4 linked regions of the Drosophila melanogaster genome follow. The protein of the gene in region 2 interacts with the protein of the main gene of each other region in a pairwise test. Each region holds a gene or a part of one and is shown on either strand. Other genes may lie near its edges.

Region 1 (9,802 bases), on a different chromosome or scaffold from region 2:
AGACAGTAATGCTGAGGATCGGGATGAGGATGAGGATGAAAATGAGAATGTAGAGGAAGACGATGACGCACAGTCCACCACGTATCCAGAGGACTTGGAGGAGAAGGAAGATGAATGCTTAGTCATAGAGAAGAAGGAAGAAAGGCGCAGGAGGCGTGCACCTAGCAGTGAAGCAGAGGATCCACAACCCAAACGAAAAAGAGGCCGCAAAGCTGCAGAACAGCTGGAAGCTGAAGATGAAGAGCAAGTCGAGGAAGAGCAGCCTGAAACGACTTTAAAATTAAGGCGAAACAAAAAAGTGGAGCCAAAAACCAAAAGGAGTGTGGCCATTAAAAAACCCGAGGAGCAGCCATCCCATGAGAGTCGTACCAGTAAAAGGTCAAAAGGTCCAGCGGATAAGCAAACAGCGGAGCCAGCCAAAGTGGATCTTTGCGTTCCCGAAGTGCCCGCTGAGAAGAAGAAACCACAACCTAGTCGTAGACTGGGAATACCTCGTACATTAAGGAAATGATGTTTTGTTAAAAAAAAGTATATTAAAAAGTATATGTATTTAAATCATGCCAGTCCATTGCTTATTCAAAAATGGTTGCGATTATCGCAATTACTTAATTTTCATTATGTGCTGTATTGCTGTTTTCTAGAATTTCCACATGTTCAAAAAGAAAAATTGTTCAATGTTTTTGTGAATCTTGTTCATTTAATATCATTGGAATTTTAGCTACCTAATCTCTGTAAATTAAAAGGCTGCTTCCCATTATTTATTAGTACTGCAAATAAAAAATATATATAAGTATATTCATAAGCGAAACTTGATAAATTAAACAATGTACTCACTTGCAGCGTGTGCCCATGTCCAGAAACAATAACACTTCCGTCATTGCCCACCGAGACAGTTCGTCCATCCGGACGCTTCCACACCGACACACTATCATCCCAAATTCCTGCTTGATCGTCACGAGCCACGAAGTTTTCTCCCTGGACGCGGCCATCTTTGATGCTGCGGCTGTCCCTTTCAACAATCAGTCCTTCAAAGCCCTTTGCCAAGGTCGCTCCACAGGAAACTGGGGACTACGCCTGCCCCTTTGGACAAAAAATCCTCCGGAACCCACATCCACAGTGCGACCAGGACGCTCCACATGGAACTGAGGACTACGTCTGCTCCTTTGGACGACAAATCCTCCAGAACCAACATCCACAGTGCGACCACTTCGCTCCACATGAAACTGGGGATTGCGAAGTCCCGCAGGCTGCACAGTGGAGTAGGCGGGCTGTACAGCAGCTAGACCTGGTCCTCTAAGCGTATGTGTTCCTTAAAATAGTATCCATAATAAGATTTATGCACTGCCTCGAACCATGATTCTTAGCCACCTGGTCCTCCAGCGTCTTTTTTGTGCACATACGTGATCCCCTGCTCATCCGTATAGACGTGATCTGCTGGCGACGATGCGTGATGGAACTGACCACCTACTCCTGGCACCTTGTATACGCCATCGTTCTGCCCCCGAATGTAGACTTGATTGCCGGGTGTTCCGAAAACGTGAGGCCCATCATGTCCGTCGTATGTCCGCTGGAGATCGGCAGCTGAGGGAGCAATGGAATCGTCGATTAGTCTCCGTTTGGGCGAGACCATGGTAAAGGGATTTTTCACCAACGCACAAAACAGCGCAAGCGATCGGCACGAGAAGTCCAAGCAAATGCATTGTCATCTATGTTCCCTGAGTGAATGGTGAGCTCTAACAACTAACTGGCTTGACTTGCTCGTCGTGGTATTTATAAGTAGGTGCGCAGTAGTCCAACATCAGGTTATTCATCAAATTGGCGACAGCATCTCAAAAATTCACAAACGCCGCTGGTGATAGGGGAGGGCGAATGAGAATTTCAAAGGAATTGAATCGATTGACGTGCACGATCCCTGAACACATCTGTTGCCCGCTTTTGCCTATTAGCCCGATTGTGGATTTGATAAGCAACTTAGATTCGCATCAACGATCAATAAAGCATCACTGATAAGAAATACAACTTTTATGCTTTGTTTTGATTTTGTTATAAAGATAGACAAATACAACATGAAATACCAGGAGCTTCGTAGCAAATAGCAACGCATTAAAACATAATAAAATTGGGAGAAGCCGGGATTTTTTCAGATCGGTGTAGCGTTTGTACTGACGATAACGTTGATTATGAGTTTCGTCGAATTGGCATCGGGTTTGGCGACGAATCAGTCCTCTGGAACCTTCCACTGCAGCTGCTTTCCGCGTTCGTAAAGATTCTTGAGAGCGTTGGCAAACTTCTTCTCCTCCTGCAGCTTCAAATAGTGCTTGTAGAGCTGCAGAGTGGTCCGTGCATCTTCGATGGAGTCGTGCGTCTCGGACTGAATCTTAGTACCTTTGGCATTAGGAAAACCCAATTAGATACAATTCCAAATCGAAGAAAACCCCTATACAAACCCAAGAAATGCCAGGCTAGAAATCTTAGGGAAACCATGCGATGATGTGGCATGTGAAACAGGTGCACCGTATCTATTATCTGCTCCGACGGTACATAGATGTTTATGACCCTGCAATCACATGGAAGTTTAGTGGTCTATTGGTTCCTTACAAAGCAGGGCATCCCACCTAAAGTCGTTCTTCAGACCATGTCCGACAAATATTACTCCTACGTCAACGAGGTATTTTAATTTCTGGTATGAGTACTTCAAGGCAGTCAGTCGCTTTTTGCTGAAGTTAGCGTCCAAGTCGCCAGGCTTGATTCCCGAGAACTGAGTTAGGTAGTCCACGACCTTCTCCTGGGTGGATATGTAATCGTCCATGAATGGAACTCCTTCAGCCGGGCCTTGTCTGTAAAGAATTCATACCCGTGCTTATCGAGATGAATATTTTTAAGTTTCAGTTAATGAATTACCCTCGTATACATGAAATCCGGGCCACACTCATGTGGCATGGCTTAATGGTCGCCGTTTTGCCATCCGGGCGAATCTCATTTTCCTCTGGATTTAGGGTAACGAACTCGGCATCCATTGCGACCAGATCACCCGACTGCGGCATTTCATCTGACTGCAGGGGCTGCAGCGTGGCGTCTGCACTTAAGTTGCCTAGCATAGGACTCACAATTTCCTGGTAGGATTAAGATTCAGATTAGCATTCAGCAGACTCAATGCTATATTAAACTATTAACCTCTAGAAAAGGGTTGGATAGATTTGTTGGCGAGCCGCTGCTGCTCTCTGATGGAATGGTTTCTTCACTTTCCGTGACGGTCGAGCTAGTAGTACTAGCAGACTCAGAGTCATCCTCTACGTGTCTGTAGAAGAGTATGCAAGGAACTTTCCAATCCAATGTGAACCATACCGATTCTTGTGGCGAAACGGGCGATATGCTGTTGAGCGATATATGAGCAATATTAATCGAAGGCCATTCACAATAGAGATCTAACTTACCTAAAATCATTAAAAATATACCATTGACTCTGAGGGTCATCTGCAGATTCAGCCAGTTTCATGGTGTGGTATGGCCGCTGCACATTTATCAACGATACCAAGTTCTTTTGGGTACCATCATCGACTTGGCACACCACGGCATGCAGCGCGTACATCCGATTGTTGTCCAAGCCCTTTGTTGGTGGCTTTTCCGTTTCCTCCTCCTGTTCCGATTTGCCACTGCTTGCATCTGATTGAGTTTGCACCTGCACCTCACCTTGGTCATTGATGCCCATAGTAAATGTAAGGGGAAACCAGGACTTTTGGCGTCCATTGGGAGAATTGTTGACAGCATTCGGTTGGCTTGTGTGCGATGGAGATTTTCTGCACAGTAGGTACAACAATATGCATAAGACGACTGATTCAGTTTCGATTCGTCGTAACTCACCGATCCGGATGCATGAAATGGCAGTCACTTCGCGAACAGTTGGCTCCATATCGACACGGCTTGCTTGTGCTCAAGGAAGCGGCCGCATCAACAGTCGTCTTTTCGCTGCAGCGATTGAGCTGGCGCTTCAGGAAGGTAATGTCTTTTTCGTTGTTGAGGCCACAGTTAATGGACAGAATTTGCGGAAGCGAAGTCACCTGAAATTCAGATGCATTACATATGTAACTTCTTGCTTGGTTCACTATAAAGTTAGCTCCCGACCTTCACGCTCTGATTGGTTGGCGAAAACTTCTTACATCTCTCGCAGAAGGCCTGAATACTCTTCTCGGAGCTGAGAGATCGCTTCAAAATGGTGCCAAAGTTGAAATACTGATCACTATCTTTGATGTGGTTGGGATACGACAAATTGCAGGCAAGTAGAATGCTTTCCTTTATCTTCTCTTCTTGGCATTTGATGCAGCGGTTTATACAGATTTGCTTGGTCCCAAAGATCTTACTGATGTCAGTTTCTGCGTTGATCTTACTGCGTTCCCGATCGTCCTCCTTGGAGTTCTCATCTGTTCATATACGTACATATGATTAGAGTGTTAGTTAAACCATTAATTCACCTGCCCACCACTTATGGAATCGTAAAGGTCCGAGGAGCCACTTGTTTCTGAAGAGCCCGCGTTTTCCGCTGCAAAATAAATCGAAGTTTCACTTATTTGTAAAGGATAAACTCGGCTGTGGTTACCGTTCGTTGATGTTTGCACAGATCCGCTGTAGGTGGATGCGTTCTTGCTAGAATCGAATATTTCGTAATGCATTTGATGCAAAATGAATCGGTTCCAGTTCTGAGAGTGTGCATAAATTAAATATCTGCTTAGGAAACCATGGTATTACTTGCCTGTATCAGCGATATTAGATTGACGTTCGATGAGCGGTCGGTGAGAATCAATCCCAGTGCCGAGGCCTCTGGCACAGTGCGGAAAGATCGCAGGAAATTGCTGGCCTGGCAAGGTGAAGAAGCTGAAAGGAGCACACATAAATACTTAAACTAAGGATAGTTAAGTTACACAAGCAAACTAACCGGTACTTTTATCCAGCATGTTGAAGAGGAACCCTAGTTCGCAGGACAGGCAAAACTCCTTGATGCACGAATGCTCCAGCAGCTTCACGCGAAGCGCGTCGGTGAAATACAAAATCTGTAGCATAGCATTGCAGTAGGAGTTCGGTAGCGTTGCCTCCAGCCCCGCGAAACATGTTTGATTATGCTGGTCAAAGTCAAAGTCCTGGGTGCCCAGCTTCGTGTACTTCAGCTCGACTTTGCGATACCGCCGTGGAATGATTTTCACACCGTTCTCCGCCTTGGTCGCCGCCGCAGTTCCATTTCCGTTCGGACTGCACACGCCGCCCTGCTCAATCACGTACGGAATTTGATTACGACGGGCGGTGCGTGGGTTTGGCGAGTATCCAATCGGTCCCTGCATTTTCATGTTGCTCAGCACTTCGGGATCAATGGTCTTGGGCCTGTGGTAGCGGTAGCGCAGCAGTTCCTCCGGCCAATCTGAGAACCATTGTGTGCCCGTCGTCAAGTGCGGTAGCATGACCGACGATAGCGGAAAGTTGGTGTCCGTAATGGAGACCATCGGCAGCTGTGGCACCACGTCCGCAAACTCTGTGCTTCGCGAGTAGAGATTGAACTGCGGCTGAGGCGTTTGTACAGCGGCAATCATGTTGATGTGGCCCGACTGGTCCCCAAATGCCATGGCCTGTGAAGAGGAGCTAATGTCGAAGCTGAGGCACTGGCTGCCGTTGGTGTTGATCTGGTACATGGATACTCGCGGCTCGCTGAGCTCCACAGTGTCCACCAGCTGAACCTGGCCGTAGCTGGACACGACGGCCAGTTGGGATGTCAGCGATGGCAGGAACTTCAACATCTGCGGATCAATCATCACTTGAATGGGCGCGATCAGGCGCAGCATGCGCAGATCGTAGACCATTAGGAAGCGGTCGATGGCCAGGTTATTTTGCCTTCCGCTGTAGCCGCAAGAGATTAGCAGATTTCCCTGGACACTGAAGTCCGAAAGGATGTTGGTGTGCGTCTTGATTGTGTGCTGAACACTCAGGCTGTTCAGGTCGCGCAACGTTACCGTTCCCAGCTGGTCGCCGGCAAACAGATAACGTGAATTCTTGCGTAGCACCGTGCATCCGCCGGCACCCACATGCTCTATGCGGGTTTCCTTGAGCGTGCGCAGGTCGAAGTCGATAAGCTCGTCCTGCAGTCCGGCCATGACCAGACGATGCGGTGATAGCTGCAGCATGCTCACCATCTCCTTCATGTTGTTCGATCTGCAAGAAATTGAAACCTCACTTTCGGGGAATCTTTGTGCCAGCGCGGTGGCTTACTTGAAGGTAAACTTGGGCAGACCCCTGCGGATCTGATGACGCAGCGAGGTCTGCGTGAGCGCCAGCACTCCGGAGTCCAGGGTGGAGATGTCGCGCACAATGTCGGTGGCGTGGACCTGAAAGGATGTGTACTTCTGCATGGAGTTTGTGTAGTACGATGTGACGTGGCCCTGCGGGAAGGAGCGAAGATTCAGGATTAGTAAGCCTGGCAGGCTGGACGAGGAACTCACGCCCTGGTTGCCCATCCACAGCAGCTCTTCGTAGTCGTCGAACGCCACGCTGGAAACGCCGAAGTGCTCCCCGCCGTCGGCAAGCACGGGCACAAGCTCCACATATTCCGGATCGGTGGTGCCGATGTTGAATCCATTGAAGCTGGGCGAAAAGTGCCCGTTTCCCGGCGCAGATCCCGCGTCATAAACACCTTTTCAAAAAGTAAACAGAAAACAAAGGAGAAAGCTTTAGCTGGCTTGCGTGTGTGTGTGCGTGTGGGTGAGCGTTGGCCCCAAAGCGACCCCTTGACCCACTTAGTATGTCTTCGGAGGCCCCGATGGGGTCGGTGCCGCAATACACGTAATCCATCTGCCGCACGCCGATGCCCACGCGACTTTTTATTGTTTATTTTTTAACAAATTTCGCTCAAAACTGCCAGCCGTTTTTGCGTTGCACCGATTAGAGTGACCCTGGCAGGGCTGATGTAAAAATACTCTCGCTTCTCCGCCAACGAACTACCTGTCCAACGCTGCGCGACGCCACTGTGCGTGGCAAGAAGAAGCACTGCAATGCTGCGTAGAGCTGCCACGACTGTGGGATCCGCATGTAAAAATTACGGCCAGAATTGCTCAAAATTCGCGAGAAACAAAAGAACAATGGCCGATCTGCAGCAGATTGCAAGCAACAACGAGCGCGCCGAGGCGCTGATCAACTCCATTGAAGCCGAGGCAAGTATTTCCGCCTGCCAGCGCCTGCGAACACTCGATAACCTACTGCCCCCCAGATTTCCGGCATCCAGCAGCAACTTGTGGAGCGCCAGAAGCAGGAGCTGATCAAGGAGAACGCTGCACTGGCCAAGGAAGTTGAGGCGGCTTTGGCCCAGCTGGTGCAGCTGGAGCTGCGAAATGGCAAGAAACAGATTCCGGTGCCTGGAGCCCGGGGTTTCTGCACCAGTGCGGCCCCAGTAGTTATGCCGGCAGAGGCTGGACCTGCTACCGCTGCACCCGCTGCCCCGGCTCCTAAGCCGGCCAAGGAGCCCAAGGAAAAGAAGTCCAAGGAGAAGAAACCGGCCGCCGAGAAGCCCGCCGCCGCTCCGGAGGCTCCCGTCGACGTCGGTCGCCTGGATTTACGCGTGGGCAAGATTGTGGAGGTGGGTCGCCATCCCGACGCCGACAGCTTGTATCTGGAGAAGATCGACTGCGGCGAGGCGGCTCCACGCACCGTGGTGTCCGGTCTGGTGAAGTTCGTGCCCCTGGAAGAGATGCAGAACCGTCTGGTAGTGGTCATGTGTAACCTGAAGCCGGCCAAAATGCGCGGCGTCACCTCGGAGGCTATGGTCATGTGCGCATCTACACCGGAAAAAGTGGAAGTGCTCAGTCCGCCCGCCGGAGCTGTTCCCGGCGACCTGGTTCACTGCGAGGGCTATCCGCGCCAGCCAGACGCCCAGCTCAACCCCAAGAAGAAGATCTTTGAGTCGTGCGCCCCGGATCTGAAGACCAACGGCGAACTGGTTGCCTGCTACAAGGGCGCCGCTCTCCATGTTCCTGGCAAGGGCAACGTGGTGGCCCAAACCCTGAAGAACGTCAATGTGAAGTGAGCCAATAAACGAAACTAAAGCTTTGAGCCAATAAACGAAACATCACCGCCTGCACACCATTTCAGTATCAGAACTTCATTATCATTCAGTTTCTAGTACCAGTGAAGAGTAGCTCTACAGGAATATCGGAAGCTCTACTGATCATTGGGATTACTGGTTATGTTTGATTATCGTGCAGATTCTGAGGTATTCATGTGATATTTTATTTTATTTCACACGACAGCAGTACATAACGACATTAAATTTATCATTAACAAGTCTATTTATATGTGCATAGGAAGTGCATAGGAGTGCGCCATTCCTACACACTTTGGCTGGTTTAAGTGCCGTCCTCAGCGATTATTGCGCTGCGCTTGCCCTTGGGTGCGGAACACGGCAATGGAATTGCTCTCCACCACAATCGTTTTGGTTAGGACGTCGTAGGCGGTGCGATTGTTCTTGAAGAAGACCATCAACACGCAAATGGGGAAGAGCAGGGTCATCCCCAGGTTCTTGATCAGCGCGCGGGCGAAGGAGCGCATCAGCGAGGGAGTCTGTGGCGGATAAAGCAGAGCCCTCATCGGCTCCCTCTGCGGCTGGAGGACGAACTGTGGAAGGGGCGGCCCCTGAAGCGGCATCACTGCTTCCACATAGTATATGCGTATCTTCATCAGCGACTTGCCCGGCGTAGCCCCTTGGTATAGGTATGTCCACAGCGCTTCGTAGCAGCAAACGATGAACTTGGTCAGCATTTCGATTAGCAGGAGGTCGGTGGACATCGAAATAAAATCTAGTGATGTGTCAAAGAAGTTCGAAAAGAGGTCTTCTTGGTCCAGGGTGCGCCGAATCACGTCCTCATCGAACTCTATGTTGAACAGGTTGACCACCCCGAAGGTAATGATGATTTTCACAATGAAAAGGATGAACATATCGATGGTCTCCGCCACGGCGCGCTTCCAAAAAGGTGACAGAACGTACTCGTAGCCGCCAAGACGCTGTATGATATCCAGCTGGGCCGCCTCGCCCAATATCCGCAGGCCGCTGAAGTTTGGCGCAGGCAAACGAGGCTCTGCAGCTGGTTCTCCCGGCGCAGCAGCCGAGCCCTGAACCAGTGCTTGGGGTTGTCCCATGGCGGCTGCTTGGAGAGCAGCGGAAGAAGGCAGTCCCGGGAACATGGTCGGGTAGTTGGCCATCAGGTAGTAGGGAAACATGAGCATCGCATTCTGGGCCAGCGTCGCCTGTTTGGCCCACTCGGCGAGGCTTTCGAAGTAGGCTTCCTTGGTGGAGCGCTCCGTAAGCTTCTGACCCGTCTCCTCGCCTTGTTCACCCATTTTCTCAGTCTCACAATGATCGATTTTGTTATTTGGCTGGCTTTTATTTATTTATACAAGTTGACGTGTATTGCAATCGGTAGGGTGTGTCGGCGTATCGCTGCGAATGACAAATACTGCTAAATACGATTCCCTGTGAATTTCAAGCAGGGCGGGAAAATTTAAGAAGACTCACTTTAACTTTTGATGCGAAATATTTGATAGTACGTAAAATTCGAAAATATATTATTCTAACTTTTTGTACATACAACTATAATGTTGAATAAAAAGTAGTTGGGCAACCGAACAAGAAGCTGTTTATCTAATGAACTAAATGTAATGCATTTTGTAGTTCTTTAATATATAAATTAAAAGCACGAGGTCATACATTACCCGTATTTACTTACTTTGAAATCAGCGACACAACGAAGCACATACAATTGTCTGAATATTTTAT
Region 2 (4,906 bases):
TATGCTGGCAATTGCCAAATCACGGACTCAGCCTGGCTGATATATAATCTGATTTTGTGCAAATGCACAAGCATCTAATGCCGCTACTGCAACGGCGACCCATAAAGGCCTTTCACTTTTACGCCACAGTGCAGATCTCACGCATGGCACCCGATCCAGTCACTGTTCCAGTCACAGATCCATTTGCAATCCCCGTTGGTATTCCACTCCACAATCCCACACCCAGCGTTCCGATAATCGATTTCGAGTGCGAAACTTGAGATTCGCAGCCCACGGTTATGCACCGCATCTGTTGCATCACTTTTCACCACCCCCAATCGCAGATAGTATCTATTTTTTCCGCCCGGTGATCACTAAACCATTGTCAATGACATCAAAGATGCCGAGAAATTCCAGAGAGGCAGCTTCCGTTTTTACCTGGTTGTTGCAGGAAGTGCAAAATGGTAACCCGAGTACCCCAAAGGTGGCAAGAAAACCAGAAAGCCTAATTATGACAGCAATAGAAATTGAGACATCACACTCAAATTACTATCTTGCAACAATGTATACTGATATAAAGCAAGTAACTGGTTACAAGTACAGTGAACTTTGATAAATGTTGCTTACTACAATATCAATTACAAAATCAAAGTTTAATGTAATTAATTGCCATTTTTAAAAGATCTGAATCCGGTTAAAAATTAAATACTAAAATCCGGAAAACATTCGGTTCGCCAAATGCATACAAAATTATAAGAAACATTAATTAAGTTATAAATCAAGTTACCGTTAAATCAAGTTCTACGATATTAGATCTGCTAAGTGAATTTGAGATTTATTAAACTCAAATGAAAGAAATTGCTTTGTTACACTTTTGTTTATTGGGCCACAAAATGTTTCGAAATAAATTTTATATTGAAATTATACAAGATTAAAACCAGATTACCCCTTTGAACAATTCCAGATTTATAGACCCTTTGTTTAAAATGCGAGCCGAACGTATAAATATGATACTAATAAGCAAGTTTTTTTTTTTTTTTAATTAATGGAATCAAAACAAAATCTAGTTGAATTTCCATTAGGTAGACTCAGAATTATTGATATTAGGAATCAGGTTCGACCAAAACTGCTGACTTCTGAAACTTGACAAACAAAACATAACGACTTTGATAGACATATGACCTTTCGTTGAAATCTATATTTTTGGGAACAACTTGCTAAGAAGCCCGAAGACTTTTTATCCAAATAAAACAAAAAAAAAACAAGAAAGGATTGCTAGTACGTTCTGCGGGATTTTCCCAATATAAATTTCAATTCAAGATTTAGTTAATTTATTTTATTTGCTTTTTATGTTCCCAAATTGATTTGATCACATTTGCACCCATATTTTATAAGCCACTTTCAAGTTGGCGGCTAAAGTCACCAATACACACAGAGAAAAGCCGCAATTGCGTGAGTATTGGTGGCATGCCAGTGTATTGGTGAGCGCTTCCGCTTGCAACTTTCCGTGCCGCACTAATACACACAAATATAACCAATACAAGCGCAAACCAAGCCGAACTCAGAGCTTTGAAGAGAGCAATTAGGCTGGTTTGTGGTGGGAAAAGCTTTTGGAAACCGCTGAGCGACTTGGTTTGGCGGTGTTTTCAGTTTCGTTTTGACACAAAAACTCTTTGGGGGTATAAAAGCGCGCCACTGACCACAGACAGCATCCAGTCAAAGGTTTGGAATCGCTAGTGATTCTACAATCCTTCCACAGTCTATTTCGCTGTTACTGAGTTGCTTGTAAGTGAAGCCAAATGCCAAGTTAATTTTTGTTTGTTTCTAAAATGCGTGTAGTCTATGTGAAACGGAAATAAAGTTTAAGCTGTGATCTAAAAGTTATAAACTAATAACTGTGCGAGCCGTGTGCTCTAAATAACTTCAATTTTCCAAGGAACATTTTCCCAAAGAACAGATTGTTAATACCAATTAAAGTGCTGATCTTATAAAAAAAAAAATATCTATGCTGCATTTCGTATAAATAATCTTATTGTTTTCTTTGTTTACTTACAGCCTTGGCAAGTCCCATTAGACTCCACAATGAAAGTATTCGTAAGTACAACAGACATATAGTAATTAGACATATAGAATTTAGTTTGATATGTAAATGGGTACGAGTATGTGAACTATCGCTGTTGGTAGCATATTTTAGTGTGAGAAATCAAGTAATAATTCAAAGAATTGCATACAGAACAATGCTGACATGAACTAATTGGAACAATATAGCCTTTTGCATTGCAAATGCCTCACATTGTTTACCTGGCCATCTTCAACAACAAACAACTTCCTGAAACAATTCAATCCGATAAATTTCCTTAATCAAAGGTGAAATGCTCGCAAACGACCAAATTCAACTTGAACGACATGGCTAATAAGCGTTTATTAACTGAACGATCATAATTGGAGTGCCAGCCACGTTTATTACCAGGCCGTAATCAACTGGGTTCATGTGCTCAATTAAAGCCAGCTCCAAATGCATTCGCTGAGTTGCCCACTGCGTATGCGTAACGTGACGCCAGTCGGTTGAGGCGTATTGCGGAAACTGGGCGTGGCAGTGGGCGATGACTGCACTGCATCATTTATGCCAGGCACGCACAAATTTCACTTGACCATTTGAATCGCGAAAGAGGGCGATGAGACAACGGACGACACAATGCGAATCGGGCCACATATCGCCTATCGCCTTCGCTTTCTATTGCGATTAGGTAATCGATCAAACTAGGCAATGGGTGATAAAAGTCAACGTTTTCGTTAGGCAATTTATGTAGGTTGCATATCTTGAATTGTTTTATCATAGAGAAGCTTCAAATACTTAAAGAATAGACTATACGAATTTCATGATAGATGAGTTTGCACAGTTGAGAATTCGAAGATAGTATGACTAAATTTTATTTCATTTCATTTTGAAATAGATTTAAACTATATTTGCAAGGAATCAAGTTCTACTTACTAACTTAGTTATTGTGAAATAAACTATTAAGAAATCACAAATATCTAGAATTTTGCTAGAAAATTAATATATTATTATTATTTAAAAGTCTCTAAAATGCATAGTTTCATAACCAATCGCACCAACTCAATTCTTTGCAGATCTGCTTAGCCGCTCTGCTGGTGGCCTCCGCCTGCGCCAGCAAAACCGAGGGTGAGAAGGTGCCGCTGGAGAAGAAGCTGGACAAGCGCGGCCTGCTCGATCTGGGCTACGGCTACGGTCATGCTGGTCTGGACACCGGCTACCTGGGACATGGTTCCATCTCCGGCCACGGAAGCTACGGACATGGCTACGGACTGACCGGATACTCCGCACCCGCTGCCGTCGCCGTGGGCCACAGTGGTCCCGCGATCGCCGTTGGACACACTGCTCCCGCCGTCGCTGTCCACCACGCTCCCGCCCCCTATGTGATCAGCAAGCAGGCCGATGTGCACAAGACCATCACCATCACCAAGGGAATCCCAGTGCCCGTGCATGTGGACCGCCCCTATCCCGTCGTCCATGAGAAGCGCGTGCCCGTCGAAGTTAAGGTGCCCGTGCCCCAGCCCTACGAAGTCATCCGCAAGGTGCCCGTGACCGTTAAGGAGTACGTCAAGGTGCCCGTGCCAGTGCCCCAGCCCTACGAAGTGATCCGTCACGAGAAGGTGCCCGTCCATGTGCCCGTCGATCGCCCAGTGCCCGTTGAGGTGCCCAGGCCCTACCCCGTGCCAGTGGCCAAGCCCTACCCTGTCTACGTGGAGAAGGCCGTCAATGTCCAGGTGCCCGTGCATGTGGATCGTCCCTACCCCGTCTACGTGAAGGTGCCCGTGGTGTCCCACTCCGTGGTCAAGCACGCACCCACCGTTGCCGTCAGCAGCTACCCTGTTAGCGCCATTGGCCACGATGCCACCGTCTACTCCGACCACCATGGTTACCACAAGTAAGCGGACGGAATGGACCGGAAGCAGGCGAATCTATTGGAGCGAGCGGACTTAATGGAAATGAGCCGAAGGATATCTAGCAACATTTTCAATTATCTTCCCCACTCTCTCCACCTGTCGGCCTTCCTTTCCAAAACCGAGCGCAGAAGCAAACTCTTAAAATACCCCCTGGAAGTCAAACTTCCGCCCTGCCACACTCTCTGTAGCTGATAAGAACCCCCAAGATGAAACAAGCAATGCCTTTTGTAAATTATTTCCAATCCAGCCATCCAATGGAAGCCATTGTGCTGGGCCAAGAACTCCAGGTTTAGGATAAATACCAGCTAACTGTTTGTAAATTTCGCCATTTATGAACAGTTTAGCTGGCCAAGTTTATCAGTGAAAGGTTTCGGCGCACAATGAATTGAATGGATAATAAGAACAGAAATATCTATGTGAAAATCTATTAAGGACAAATAAAATAAAATGTATAAAATAAATTTCACTGTCTTTATCACTGGTTAGCTGCTGGAAATAGTTTGTCATAGGGTTCTTTGTAATTGTATATCTTGTAAATATATTTTGTAAATAAAGAGTATGTTGTTATTAAACAGCTGTCGTTTTTGATTTGGTGGCTACTCAACATAAATAATATTTAAAAAATGTATTTTTACTAGACTTTTTGAGGATCATTTTCTGGAATATTTACAGCTCTCTAATAATATTTATTAAATAGACGGAATGGTTCAAAAACTTTATGTTCCGATCACTTTAATAAAAAGTTATACGAAGACCCTTTAATCTTGCAAGGTAACAAGTAGGATACCAGTAATTATTTCAAGCCAAGAGATGCGAATTATGCATACCTGTAATTAAGTACAGCTTAAGTTGTAATAAATCAATAATACTCAGTCACAATAAAAACAGATGTCTTGACGCCTTCCTGATCCTTAAACCCGAAAATCCTCTCACCAGTCAGTCAGCTGAGATGACATGA
Region 3 (6,311 bases), on a different chromosome or scaffold from region 2:
GTTGGTATAATGGAAGAAAGAGTAATCACCTCCGGGCGGTAATCCATCCCCAGTGAACATAAACCTGACCAAATCCGTCGACTATTAATTAGGAATGCTTTGGTGAAATCATCAGCTCTGTGCTTTTAGATTTTCCAACAAATAGCAGCAAGATTGTTGGGAAAAACTCAATTAAATCGTGTACATATTTGCACCAAAATTTACTTGCGCACAGTTAGCTGCTTGCTTAAAGTGTAATTGGCAGCAAGATGATAAGACAGTCTGGTAATTAATTGACGGAATCAAATTAAATAAGGACATTTTACAATCCTGGCTTAATTAATTCATCACCATGTTCTCCACTTTGGTCTGCCAAATTAATACTGAACTGAAACTCTTCTTAAATCATTTTGACCTTGATTGTGAGAGAAGTTCAATTGAATTTTCACACCCTGAAAAATGATGTACTAGTTCCATGGTAATGCATGTTCTAGGAAAACCATAAATGTTATCCTAATAGGTAAAAATATGGTTATTTTTCCTAAGATGTGAGGCCACTTTGCCGGTTGCAATTAAGTGAATTTTTGGGTTAATTCGTTTTGCTGGTTTGGCAGTATTCAACCTGTTGTCTGGGTATTTACAAAAGAATTTCCATCGCAGAAAGTTGTCCTTTCAAAGTTTTAGCTACACTTCTGAGCTCTTTTTTCCTTTTTTTTTTGTTCGTGTATGCCCTTCAAAGTTTAACTTGCGAATTACTGCAGAAGTCAGCTTCAAGTTTTTCGCAGTTGTCATACTTTTCGTGACCTTGTCACCCCATAAACTTTTTATGTAGCATCCGTTTTAATATGTTTATGATTTAGTAAATATAAACCTGTCGAAACGCTTAAGCAATAAATTAGGTCTTTAGTAGTAAATTAATTCATTTAATTGAAGTATAGAATAGTCGTATCCCTTAGCAACACACACAAAATACCTTAAATTTCACAATCAACCAAAGCTATTTCACGTGTCTCATTTGTAAGGATGACTTCGCAGAAACTGATGCTTTTCTCCGCATAATTCCAGCACTTATCGCATTTTCGTTAATTATACGCTTTCAGCAAAGTCGGAATTCCAATTTCGATGGTGGGAAAAGGAATAATCCTGTCGATAATGAAGTGCTGGGTACATGGAATTTAATTTATTTATTAATATCTTCTGGCGCCCCAAAAGGAGGCAGTAAACAGAAGAGCGACTTTATACAAGCATTGGCGAGTTGGGGGTAAAATATAATAATTAAAGCTATGTAAATTTGCTATGCGGCCGGGATTTTCAAATAAAGCTCAACCAGTGGCAGATATAAGAGTTTCCAAGCACGTGACAATATTACCAAAGGCGCTGCCCCCAGGGCAAACAACATTGGTGTACAAATAAATCAATTCTGCCTTCTGGCAAAACACTGCGGGGGCGAAACAGAAAAAAGTTAAAATTTATTTGAAAAGCGTGAAGGAGATGGCCACTGCTGCCACAAGTCCGATCGGCTCACCTTTCACCTGCCCCAGAAATTCCCCTCTAATGCCGCACAAATTAGGCACAAGAGAACAGAAATTGACCTGAAATCAAATACAAGTCAACATAAATTCAATTTCGAACATTCCCCAGCTCAAGGTCCTTAAGTTGCTAGGCAGATAAACCACCCTGTTCTGGACTAGGACTGAGTTCCTCAGCTTCATGGGGCTTCTAAAGTTGCGTGTAAACAATTTGTGACCCAAAAAGATAGGAAACGACACATTTCTGCCAATAAAGTGTATTAAAAGTAAATCAGAGAAAGTGTATCGAAACCCTTTACGATTGGTATGGTTATGCCACCCAAATGTTCATTGAATTTTAAGCCAGTCGAGCGTTTTTCTGAATTTAGCACATCCGCAAGGGCAGTCCATTGATTTCAATGCATTGTATTTTTTTTTAATTGCAAATAAAGCTTAGGTTTTTATTCTTGGATGTCCGGGAATCAATACTATTCTCTTAAGTTATACGCTTAAATCAAAATTGTATGATTGTTAAGTAATCCTTTTACAATTTTAATTGTTTTCGCATGCTAAGCCTGAATGAAACTTTTCCCTTCTTATTCTGTATATAAAAACACAGCATCAGTTTTATTCGAAACTTCTGCACAAAATATTCTTGGGAAGTGTGTGTGTGTGTGTGTGTGTGTGTATGCACTAAGTGTTTACTGTTTGTCGAGTAGTTAGTTTCAAAGCAAATATTTGAGAGGCTTCTGTTTGCCGTTCCTGCAGTAGCATTACGTATACGCCACGTGGCACGCGCAACCTTAAGCACCCTTACATCAGGCCAGCGTTTTCATTGACAACACATCCACTGGCGTAAATTGCACGGTTGGTTACTCGCATTTGATTATCGATGCTGTGCAATACTCTGGAGACAGCGACGTCAGCTCCCAGCCCAGTTTATGTGGCAACTAGCTGAAGTTCAAACAATCGATGCCATTGGCAGCACGAATTTCTCTATTTTTCCGTCACAAAATCCGTGGGTCTTCCCTTATTTGCAGACTGTTTTGAAACCAAGGCTTTTGAAAATGTAACGCTTTTGTATCACTTATTTTTGAGAAGGATGAGAGAAGCCAATGTTCACAAACAGACAGCTCGCAGTGCACGCAATGAGGTACTGGAAATCGTTAAAAAAAATTCTTATTTTAAATGTGAAAAATTTGATTTTCAGGACTGAATATTTCGACCAAAAGCAATTATAACATTCTTCACGCTTTTTTCGCAGCATAAAATAACTCGGATGTTTCATGTTTCTCCACGTGTACTTCGTGGTAACAAAAACTGAATATAAAACGCTCATTTTTCCATTTTTTGCCTCCATCAGATGATGCCCTCTGCACTCGAAACCATCACATTCATCGAATTTGCAGAGAGACTGGGTTGAACGATTGTCAATGCTTTTAGCTAAATGATGTTGTACATAGCCAAGTGTAAGTATGAAATGGATTGATCGATATGTGCGCAATTTTAATTCAATATTCAGACTTTATTGTTTAAGCCTTTAATAGGGATCCACGTTGCAGTGCTGACATCTGCCATTGACGATGGTATTACCACCCCTCCGGTAAATGGTGCCACCTCCACCGCCACTACCGTCATTTCCACGGGAAATGACCACATTACCATCGCCAGGGGATGAGGAGAAGCTGCGGTACTGCTGGCCATCCAGGTAGACGGGTTCACCATTCGGATTGGGACCTTTTCGAGTGCATATTATTATTCATTAAGTTGTCCAATTGCCTAGCTGGCAAAACAATCGCAACTTACAAGTCAGACAGACGCCATTCACCACCACTGTGCTGGGATGAGCTGGAAATAATTTCAGTGTGTATCAATTAGCGTCAGCAGCAATCCCGTCCAGCTTACCGCCGATCAGAGTCGGAATTAAAGCCAACGGGAGCAGCACACACGTCAGGTACTTCATATTAAAGCCGATAGATAGATGACCGTATCGACTCTCACGCTACTTATATAGTCCGGCACTTGATTCGATCCGAATCAAAATCGATTTGCATAAGCCTAAGCGTTTGGAGCTTTCGATTTGTATTTGAACAATATATTTAAATTAATTTCACACTAGAACACTATCAAATCGCAATTCGATGGGGTTTTCCGCACACGGTTTTGTGGCATCAGGTCGACGTAGTTGATTTCCTTGAACTTCTTCAAAGAAACTTATGACAGTCACGCCCCGAAAAGTCGGTTTACAATTATTCCCAGACGTAAACATGAATGGCAAGCGATTCCAGAGAATCGCACACCATTAAATTTTATCCATACATCTAAGGAAAACTGGTTACAGAACCGAAAGTCGTGACTCGTGAGTGAAATGTAGAAGCTTTAGTTCTAAAGCTAACAATTTATATTTAAATAATAAGATACTTAATACAATGAAAAAGCAAAAAATATATTTGAAAACAAATACATTTCATTAAAAATAAATCTTTGCAACTTTGTAGAAATGAAAAGTGTCTGACTTATTATAGATTTTACAGATTTTGTGTATTTGTTATGTTAAAAAGGTAACGTAGAGTATCTTGAATGCAATACGACTGACCAACTGATGCGCTACAGATTGTTTTTGAAACCCATCCGCGGGCAATTCCCTGAGATTAATACTTAATACATACGTAGTGGTTTGTTTGCACAGCAATAGTTCTTTGCAGCGATAAGGTCTGTTTGGGTTTGAATTCGAATTCAAATTCAGTATCGGAATCGGAATCGATGAGTGCATCGTATATAAGCTGCTGTTGCGGTTCGTACCTGGTCCAGACCAGTTCGACGTTCTAATAGACCAGCCACAATGAGAACCTTGACGGCATTTGCGATTATCGCTTTTTTTGCACTGGCTCTAACGGAGGCGGCTGTTTACATCGGTGGCGGTTGCTACGACTGTAAGTCAATGCCTATTAATTTGGGCCATTTATTCAAAAATTGTTCAACGATTTTCGTCGCTGCCACATCAGGCATAGTTTAAAAGGAAATTTTGTGTTTTCATTAGCGAAAGTTTGAATGAACAATCAATTTGTTATTATATTATGGTATTTCTTGGCAACGAAAGTCATTAAGTGATTATTAACGATACTCTAAACATTTGTTATTGGTTAAGTTTATGAATAATATAATTCCGAACACTTAGCTTTAAGCTTTTAATTTCTATAGCGCATAGTACATTTGCTGGCTTGCGTAAAAAATGCAGTAGCTAGCGCGCAATTAAGTAACTACTACTCCTCAAGAAACTGATTTAAATATCACTATTAGGTAATCCACCCGGAGGCCAAGGACCTGGAGTCTACACAGGTGGCAACGGAGGACGAGGAGGAGGAGGTGGATACAACGCAGGCGGAGGCGGTGGAGGATACTACAACGGCGGCGGAGGTGGAGGAGGTGGCCGTCGTCCAGTATATTCGGGCAACTTTGGACCCGGCTATGGTAACGGCGGAGGAGGAGGTGGAGGAGGCTACGGAGGCGGCGGTGGAGGTGGCTACGATGATGGCGGTCTTACGCAGATTATAAGCGGCTGAGATTATAATCTCGAAGCTTTGCTAGCGCTAAGCGCGAAGAGCAAGCATCGTCTGAAACTTAGATTATATAGACTTAAATAAAAAAAATATATATTTTATCAGCGGTGACTACTTTTATATACTTACAGAATGAGCTTTTGTTAGGTTTTGTTAAAGGTTAAAAACAAGTCCCTCTGTTAAAGTAAAACTAGTGAATAAACTTATCAAATACTCAGCTAACGCTACTAATAAATGGCATGCCACCTATAGCTTCTAAAAATAATATCCTTAATTCCTGTGCATTTTATAATTGGTATTCATTGTAATTCAGTTCAGACACGTATAAATGAGTAGCAACTGTTCAAGAGTGATGATTAATATACCCTTAAAGCCATAAAACCGACTGTGCTGTTCGGTTGAAGGAGTCAAAGTCCTGCAAAGGAAATAATTCATAAGCTCTTCAAAGTTTCAGCCATCCTGCTTGTCAGTCTTAATTAAAGGACTTGCCCTGGCTAAATATGCAAGGGCATCGAATTTCCAAAAAGTTGAACCAAAAGAACCGCTCGGTGAATCCACAAGCACTTAATTGATACAATTACAAGTTCGATTTTTGTTCGTTCGGCGAGCTTTTGGTGAGCTAAGCTGAAGCAAATGAACCGGAATCAAATTAAGGGTCATTAAGTATAATTATCGGTATCATAGCATGCATTTTGTTAAACAGTTTTCAAGGACTTCCTTTCTTTAAGTTGGTTCTTTTGCATTTAAGAAAAGGTTGCGTGCACGCTTAAAAATAGTACATTTCGTGGATATATGTTTAGTTAAGACTCTTGCAGCACATGTATAATTACACATTCGAAACGAAAATAACCATTTCAAAGTAGATACGCTTAAAGATTACTTTATTTATAGCCTGTGCAATCAGTAGTTTTAGAATGAGTAGTTTTAGTAGTAGTAGTAGTTTTAGAAGTAGAATGCGCACATCGAAAATCTTCAGTGTCAGTAAAGTAGCTTCGGGTTTTCAGTGGAAGAAGTAGCACATTGGGCTTAGATTAATTTTCTAAGAAAATCATGCTTTTATTAAATATATACCCATTAAACATTGATATTAGTATATATTCATGGGAGAAATAGTAATTTGGTAATAATTTATTTGCTGAATACACATGTATAAAAATGTTCATTCTTTTTCCAATGAATACATTTCCTTTCGTTTAGGCTCAAAGGAAGTGTTGCTCAGGATTACCTCCTTGTCGATGTCAGGGCTCGCAGTGTGGGTTCTCTC
Region 4 (7,522 bases), on a different chromosome or scaffold from region 2:
TATACATCTAGAAAAAAAGGAATGCTCTTTCTGAATCATGTCATCTAATTGCTATTTTGAAGCCATGAGATTTCTTAATGGGCACCGATAATTATCTTCAATTAAAATTTCCTTAAACAAAAAGGAATTTTCAACTAAAACACTTTTGGAATGCATATATCTAGCGTCCAAATCGAAACACACCATTAGCCTTATTGGGTTTCGCTTTGAGTGCGTGAGCAGACCCCAAAAGTCAGTCGCTTGCAAATGCAATTTTAACCACTTCACCTACACACAGCAGGTGGCAATAGAATATGCAATAACGAACACGGACCTTTGCAGTGCAAATACAGTGCGTTTTGTGGCTTTAAGGCAGGTCAAGGAACTAAATACATATATTATATACAAATTTAATACAAATTTTTAACTTGCTAGATGGAAAATACATACATTCAACCATATAAAACATAATATTGTCACCATAATACTTCATAGATTTTTCCATTTAATTGATCTTCTTTCCTTAAATAAATTTCATTTAAATAATTTATAATACTTATGAAAGCTATATGATTCCCCCGACTTACTGGCTGACCGCATAGCTGCGAAACGCACTGTACATGAATATATGTACACACTACATAAGTGAGTCTATAGGTATATATTTCATATGTATGACAGACCGCAGTGACACACATTTGCGCCTCGGCAAGGTGCAATAACAAAGTTATTTATTATTATGCATAGGCAGAAAAACACAAAAAGTGTCGTTCGAATTGCATTTTTGCATCTTGCAGCTGTGCAAATATTTAGACTGACGCGTTTGTCGCTTAAGTCTTTCGTTTTTGTCGGTCCGTCCCCGTCTGTCTCGTGTGCCGCTGCTTGCGGCGATGCTTGTGGTGGCACTTACCTCTTTGTCATCCTGCTTGTGCTGATTATTGAAATACGTCTTGAGCGTCAGCTTTGTGCCGCAGTGTACGCATTTGAAGCAACCGGAATGGAAGAATGTGAAATCCTTTAGTGGCCCCACACGATCCACCTGATAGACTGTCTCGCTGCAGCGCAGGCAAGTCGACTCGTAGAAATTTGGCCGATACATAATGTTTGGCGTCTATGTATTCCTCCTGGATCTTTTCTTTTTCTGTGGCAGCTTCCGACTGGTTTTCGGTGGACCTGTACCTGTTGAGTTTGTCACTTTTCTTTTCGTCTTTCAATTTCACTTGGCGCGGAATTTACGAGTATATTCTGCTAGTTTTTCGAGTTTGCAGTTGCTGGTTCTGGGGGCGACATCATCCGCTCATCCGCTCATCCTCGTCATCCGTCCGCAGCTGGCAGAAGCTGTCCGAAACGAAAATGACCGAAAACGATGATTACTGCCTGAGTGGGAGATAGAAATTTCCTATTTGGGCTGCGATAAGATTTTTCGACCATCACCATATACCATATCAGGGTTCAAAAAACAAAAATTTTGATTCTGCGCAGGCGTTTGTCATGATGCGAGCCAAAACTTTCATTTATTTTGGCTATGGGCAGATTATTAATGAATCTTAATTAACTGGACACGGTGGACAAGAGTTTTGGCGTTTCTCAGCGGCAAAGGGTTAAATCCGTTTCGCCTTGCCATTGACCTCGCTTGGGAAGTCGAGCTTGAGATTGCTCCAAACGTGCCACAATTGAACTTGAGTTGCTGCATTCGTCGTACAACTGGCTCGTGCAACTTGCAACTGCCGCCTGGCAGCGGCACAAAAGTTGCATTTTCCATTTGATTAATTGACGCGATTGTTACTGGCAGGTTTCCTTTCGGTTTTTGTCTAGCTACAACAATTAAATTGAAGTGGAAAAGCAGACTGTGTGAAGGTAAGTGTGTGCGAGCAAGTGCATGTTACTTTAATTGAAATCATTGTTGTTGCGGCGTCTGTTGCTCTGACCAAAATTAAAACAAATGCGGCTCAGTTGCGCAGACAAAGCCAAAAGCCGCAGTCGAACTCAAAGTCATCGTTTTGCTTTCTTTTCAAGTTTAATGAACGTTGAGTCCGGGCGATGAATGGTGGGTGGTTGGGGATCGGTTGGGGAATGGGTGGTGGCAAGGCCTTATGATTAGCGCCAGTTGCGGCATCGAAGGTTGCTGATCTGTGGATTGCATGCCACATTGCAGCTGCAGCACTAATGGAAAATGGTAAGAAATTGAAATGGAAAAGGGGAAAACGCCAATGCAAATGCGGCGAAGGCCGCCAAGACATTTTGTAACACCAAATTATTTTGATTGGCTGTGAATAAAAATTTATTCCGCTTTTGAGGTCTGCCTTTTGATCGACCACATCGAATGTGAGGCAACAAATTGATGTGTGAATCAAGACGAGCGGGAGATTTGTGCCCTTAAAGACCATAAGCTCCATCGATGACTAACCTGTCCACAATCTCGTCTAGCTCTTTGGCCATAGCCCCCGCATCGATTCGAATATCAATCAACAACGCCCACATCGAGAGCGACAAAAATGGCAGTTTGATCTGTTGATGCGATCATAATCGGTGTGATTGAATGGTCCAATTACGCTTAGCGGCTGACATAATTAGCGTGTAATTATAATTGTAATGGACATGAATACGTGGATAGCCGCGAAGACCCTGCAAATTGGATGGGGCGGCTTTGACAAAACGCCTCGTGCGACTTACATCACCTATCACAATATCGTTCCATCATCCCATCATGCCACCATGGCCACTTGGGTGTGACTAAGAAGCTATGGACTGCAGGTAACCCGAGATGCCGCATATAATTTCGCACACATGCCTGTGCTCCGTGCCAGCTTTGGGTTTCTTTTCCACCTCAATGCGGATGAAATGCCATGCGAATGGAATATAAACATACAAAATAAAATGACAAACGCGAGAAGCAGTCACAAAAACGAAAGTTGCTCTGCGCGGGCAATTGTTTGCAATCGAGACATTTAAATAAATTGATAAGCACTCGGAAGCATTTGCATCGGGCGAACAAGTTCGTTGCCTAAGTCTTTCGTTTCGATGTGGTATCTCTGCTGTTGTTTTTGTCGTTTCCCTTATCGCTGGCATTGCTTAACGAAACGCTAACAATGACAATTAAATAAATACCAATAATAACAGTAAACTGCTGCAGCAGCAACACAAGTATAATGAACTTGAATTGGCATAATTGCCACCGCTAATCACATTAAAGCCAGATACAAAGATTTGATAAATGCAAAGAAACAACAGCCAAGCAGCAAACAACAAGACAAAAAGCAACTGGTTATTCCGCCTGGCAGTGAAACAATCATAGGAATTAAAATAAGATGCAAATGATTGCGTCACTGCAGAGTAGCGATATGAGGGGAGAAATATAAACTTAAAATGTGACAATGGCACTAATGTGAATAACTAACAAGTCGAACAGGGCAATGATTCCCCTTTTTAGATTATGGAAATAAAGGCAGATAATTTCAATGTGATGAACTTAAATAATTGTTAAATTAATAAACATTATAAAATTCAAACTGTTTTCCCATTTCGCTTTACTTTTAGGCGAACTATTTAAAGTATACAAAAGTACTTGTCAAAAACGTTTAACTGTTCTTGAAAAGTGTGAGAATTGGTTGGGCAAATTTGAAAAAATCAAGGTACTTGCTTTGCTGTGCCAATTTCAAAGTCGCTAATTGAATGGAACAATGAATTGCTTTTAGAAATCGCCCATTTCGCTGGCAATAAATTAGAAGCACAAACACCGAAAATAATTTATGAGCAAGCCACAATAATTGGAAGCCACATACGAAACCCGTGTAGTTAAAAGGGATGGAGGGCGGGTGCAACCAGCGCCCATGACAGGTGGTGTCGCCTCAACCACCCACCCCGTCTATTTGCGTTTGTATTGGTTTATGTGTGTGTTTATGCCGTGACGCAGGCCCAGCTTCGACTTCAAACGTCAGCCTGCAATCTTTCACTTTTTTTTCGTGTCTGCAGCCGCGGCGTCGGTTGTTCCAGTTTTTCCGTAGATTATTTCCCCAGCATCGCTATTATTTTTGTTATTTTCGCCTAGATTATACACACGCGATACATGGAGTGCTTATTCTAGGCCCTTTTTGACACACTTCTTTGCCGTTTATGTGTATTTCTATTACTTTTACGCATATATGCTAAACAACTTTCTTCTTCTGGTTGCAAAGGGGCGCGCTTTGTGCAAAAGTATTTATCATAAATTTTACACACACGCAGGCGCACACCGACACACAAACACACACACACAGAGCGATAGCCCCAGCGAGATCCAAGCACACATATTGCATACACACACACAGGCATAGAAAAAGGGGAGAGCAGATTGTTCAGTTCGCAAGGTCCATGAATCCGGAATTCCAATTCTGCGCTTTATCACATTTTCGGCATTATTTGTTGTGCCTCCAAAAGTCTCTTCTCCGAACAGCAGGTTTCGAATATTGGGAATGTAACAAAATTTCATTACCAAACACAACCACTCATACACAATCAGCACAGCACGACGACACACACGGACGCGTTCACTCACACTAGCACAGGTTTCGAGCCGCTTTTCTTTTCGATCCGTTTCTTTTCCGTTCGGCTCGAGCGCGATCACGATCGATTTGAGACTAGTTGCTTTGCTATTCGCGGAATGGAATCCGCTCTGAGTCGAGCTTTGTTGGGGGTAAAGCTTTTACATAGCTCCAAAAAGCTCGCTTCGCAAAGGCAACTGCGCGTGCCCACCACTACTATCGATAGCCGTCCACGGATCAGCCTAGGAGTTCCAGTAATCGTTAAAAATATTTTACTCTGGTCCCCGTTGGAAAATCTATAATTTCATTTGTTTTTTTTTATAAAGCCCTCGGCTACACTTCCTTGCTATAACTATCATTTCAGCTTAGCATTTTTAATAGTTTTAATTTATATAAATATTTATATAGAAAGGTTTTACAATTTTTTGTTCGTAATCTGCTGCGATAGATCGATAGGTGTTCAACGTTTGAACTTGAACATCGTGGTATTTTCAGGCTCTTCACCTGCGGTCTCACTGGCTGCAACAATTATCGAAGAAACGATAGGTTGAAATTAATAACAAAAGAGTGCAAAAGGGAAAACGCAAAAAGTTATGGGGAACCAATTGGCTATACAGATGAATAGCGATGAAGACGACGATTTTGATTCTTCGGACAACGAGCTGGGCTTCAACGTGATCAACTTTACGGTGAACGCCATGGATCTGCGCTCCGATTATTGCAGCAGCGAGATGCCAGTTATACGAGGCAAGCCCGATCTAGTTAAATTTCAGGTAATGACGAAATACCCCGTCCCCAGATAACAATTAATAGTAATTTATTGCCCACGCAATCTTCCAGAAAACTGATATGTACAAGGAGATCCAGGCGTCGAGTGGATTAGTGAGCAATCCGAACAATCGCTGGAACCTGGTGCACGCCCTTCAGCAGCGTGAGAATGGGTTGGCATCGCCGCACAGCGCATCGTTCTCCAAGAACCAGCAGCGCTACATATCCAATCTTTACATACCAAACAAAAAGGCCACACGCCTGATGTCGCTGGAATCCAAAATATTTGTGACCAAGTTCAATCGTTCGGGCAGCAAGTTGCTGACCGCTTGTCAAGGTCAGCATTCATGATTAACGCTTCCGATTGGCATTAAAACACGATTTTGACCCCTTCCAGATGGCTTTGTGCGCATTTACGATGGCGCCAAGGGCACTTATCACCTGCTGAATCGCATCCGAGCCCGCGATGTTGAGTGGAGCATCATCGATGCGGATTTTAGTCCGAATGGCGAGCACTTCGCCTACAGCACCTGGTCCCGCTCATGTAGGTACTCCGCCCAATCTGTTTATCCACACTAAGTTGTTTTCCCCTTCAGTGTTCATCATGCCCGTGAATGGGGGGGAAGACGACTGCCAGTGGATCGATGTCAATGGACTGCCAAGCCATAGGTTGGCCATCTTCTCGCTGCGCTATTCGCCAACAGGCGACAAAATCATCGGGGGCAGCAACAATTCCACGGTCATCGTGACCGACATTCGCACAAGAAACACACAGATCCTGCGCACCCACCGCATGCCCGGCAAGGATGTTAACTCGGTGTGCTTCCTACACGATAAGGATCCAAATGTGATAATCGCCGGCTGTGACGACGGCCTGCTAAAGGTCTACGACCTGCGCACCACCTTCCGTTCACGGGACCTGTCCAAGTCTGTGGCATCCTTCATCGGCCACTACGATGGCATCACCTACATCGATTCGCGCAACGACGGCTACCACGTGCTGTCCAACTCCAAAGACCAAAGCATCAAAATCTGGGACATAAGGCAGCCGAGCAATATGCGTAATCGCAGTCGTTCTAGACAGCAAGTCGACCCCACCACATGGGACTACCGATGGAACCGCGTTCCGCGGGAATGTAAGCTCGTGCCCGTTTTATTCTTGGAAAATTTTTAACGCCCACCTATCTTGTCGGCAGTTTACAATCCGCATAAGCCACTGGAAGGAGACTCCAGCATAATGACCTACCGCGGTCACCGAGTTACCAAAACCCTGTTGCGGGCGAAGTTCTCACCCATGGAGCAGACAGGGCAACGCTACATTTACACAGGCTGTGCCACCGGACGTATTATAAGTGAGTTCACACCTTTATCTTGCAGTATTTCTCTGATTTTCTTTCACAAGGCTATCTAAAATACATTTTCTAGCCAGTAAGTTCGCCAAGTATTTTTAGAAATTCTCTATCCATCAAAAATTTGGTTGTGAAACCAAAGGCCATTTCTGTGTTTCCGTTGATAAACATATTATGTTTTCAAAATAATCCAATTTTCTTACAGTTTATGATGTACTTACTGGTAAGATTCAAGAGGCTATTGAAGGACATAGGACTGTGATAAGAGATCTGGACTGGCATCCGGATCGCTCAGAAATCGTGTCTGGCTCGGTAAGCATCGAAATATGAGTAATATTCCTCTGAATAATAATGCACACTCAACTGCCTACGCAGTGGGACACCCATGTTCACCTGAACAACTTCAGCCGCAGCAACGCCAATCGTCCGGTAAAGCGATCACATAGCTCGGATCATGACAAAAAGCCCCTGAGAAGATCACGACGTTTGGCGAATCGAAATGTTACACCGGACTAGTTGTAAGGTTTAGAGTATAAGCTAGTAAGGTCCCCTTTGATATTACATTTCGTTACATTCATTCATAGTGGCTTGCCTAAGCGACGCACGAGAATATTCACCACAGTCGGGCCGGCTGGGATAATTGGTTCTATTAAATAAGACTGAAGAATATGTCACTCACTTGAAATGTATAGTTCAGTTTAATTAGTTAGCGTGTTATACAAAACAGTACATTAAAATGTAAACCATGAAGCTTACCAACTACCTACTTAAGTTGTTTATGTACAAAAACAATCATAATAAGAATCACGTTGAAATATATTTCGTTTGCTCGATCTAAATTCCTTGAAAGGCGACTCTCTTCTTGACCGCTCGTATGCTAGTTCTTTGCACCCTTACCGGATACTT

What was found.
Region 1: the proteins of Vajk3 (region 2) and PAN2 interact in a two-hybrid assay, tested with the Drosophila melanogaster proteins (one large-scale study listed by BioGRID).
Region 3: the proteins of Vajk3 (region 2) and BomBc3 interact in a two-hybrid assay, tested with the Drosophila melanogaster proteins (one large-scale study listed by BioGRID).
Region 4: the proteins of Vajk3 (region 2) and Hil interact in a two-hybrid assay, tested with the Drosophila melanogaster proteins (one large-scale study listed by BioGRID).

The regions. Positions count from the first base shown.
Region 1 is NT_033778.4:8,925,326-8,935,127, reverse strand, and holds PAN2 (Poly(A)-binding protein-dependent poly(A) ribonuclease 2), read right to left. Parts: upstream 6,960-9,802; 5' UTR 6,829-6,959; coding exon 6,774-6,828; intron 6,671-6,773; coding exon 6,480-6,670; intron 6,420-6,479; coding exon 6,250-6,419; intron 6,193-6,249; coding exon 4,931-6,192; intron 4,870-4,930; coding exon 4,748-4,869; intron 4,695-4,747; coding exon 4,595-4,694; intron 4,538-4,594; coding exon 4,478-4,537; intron 4,419-4,477; coding exon 4,123-4,418; intron 4,059-4,122; coding exon 3,862-4,058; intron 3,798-3,861; coding exon 3,435-3,797; intron 3,374-3,434; coding exon 3,175-3,373; intron 3,114-3,174; coding exon 2,902-3,113; intron 2,838-2,901; coding exon 2,616-2,837; intron 2,558-2,615; coding exon 2,448-2,557; intron 2,386-2,447; coding exon 2,219-2,385; 3' UTR 2,025-2,218; downstream 1-2,024. Other genes in the region: FANCI (fanconi anemia complementation group I), read left to right, coding at 1-511; AIMP1 (aaRS-interacting multifunctional protein 1), read left to right, coding at 7,029-7,187, 7,244-8,056; CG8237 (uncharacterized protein), read right to left, coding at 8,389-9,366. UniProt on the Drosophila melanogaster protein: Catalytic subunit of the poly(A)-nuclease (PAN) deadenylation complex, one of two cytoplasmic mRNA deadenylases involved in general and miRNA-mediated mRNA turnover.
Region 2 is NT_033779.5:13,944,256-13,949,161, reverse strand, and holds Vajk3 (Vajk3), read left to right. Parts: upstream 1-1,685; 5' UTR 1,686-1,764; intron 1,765-2,034; 5' UTR 2,035-2,061; coding exon 2,062-2,073; intron 2,074-3,111; coding exon 3,112-3,933; 3' UTR 3,934-4,406; downstream 4,407-4,906.
Region 3 is NT_033777.3:22,084,342-22,090,652, reverse strand, and holds BomBc3 (bomanin bicipital 3), read right to left. Parts: upstream 3,471-6,311; 5' UTR 3,451-3,470; coding exon 3,393-3,450; intron 3,336-3,392; coding exon 3,294-3,335; intron 3,225-3,293; coding exon 3,028-3,224; 3' UTR 2,152-3,027; downstream 1-2,151. Other genes in the region: BomT3 (bomanin tailed 3), read left to right, coding at 4,330-4,420, 4,788-5,050.
Region 4 is NT_033778.4:20,613,617-20,621,138, forward strand, and holds the start of Hil (hillarin), read right to left. Parts: upstream 4,602-7,522; 5' UTR 4,451-4,601; intron 1,318-4,450; 5' UTR 1,079-1,317; coding exon 890-1,078; intron 1-889. Other genes in the region: CG9945 (uncharacterized protein), read left to right, coding at 5,093-5,272, 5,340-5,604, 5,665-5,811, 5,864-6,403, 6,464-6,619, 6,822-6,928, 6,992-7,132; CG11180 (uncharacterized protein), read right to left, coding at 7,451-7,522. UniProt on the Drosophila melanogaster protein: May act as a modulator of septin function during cytokinesis in the developing nervous system.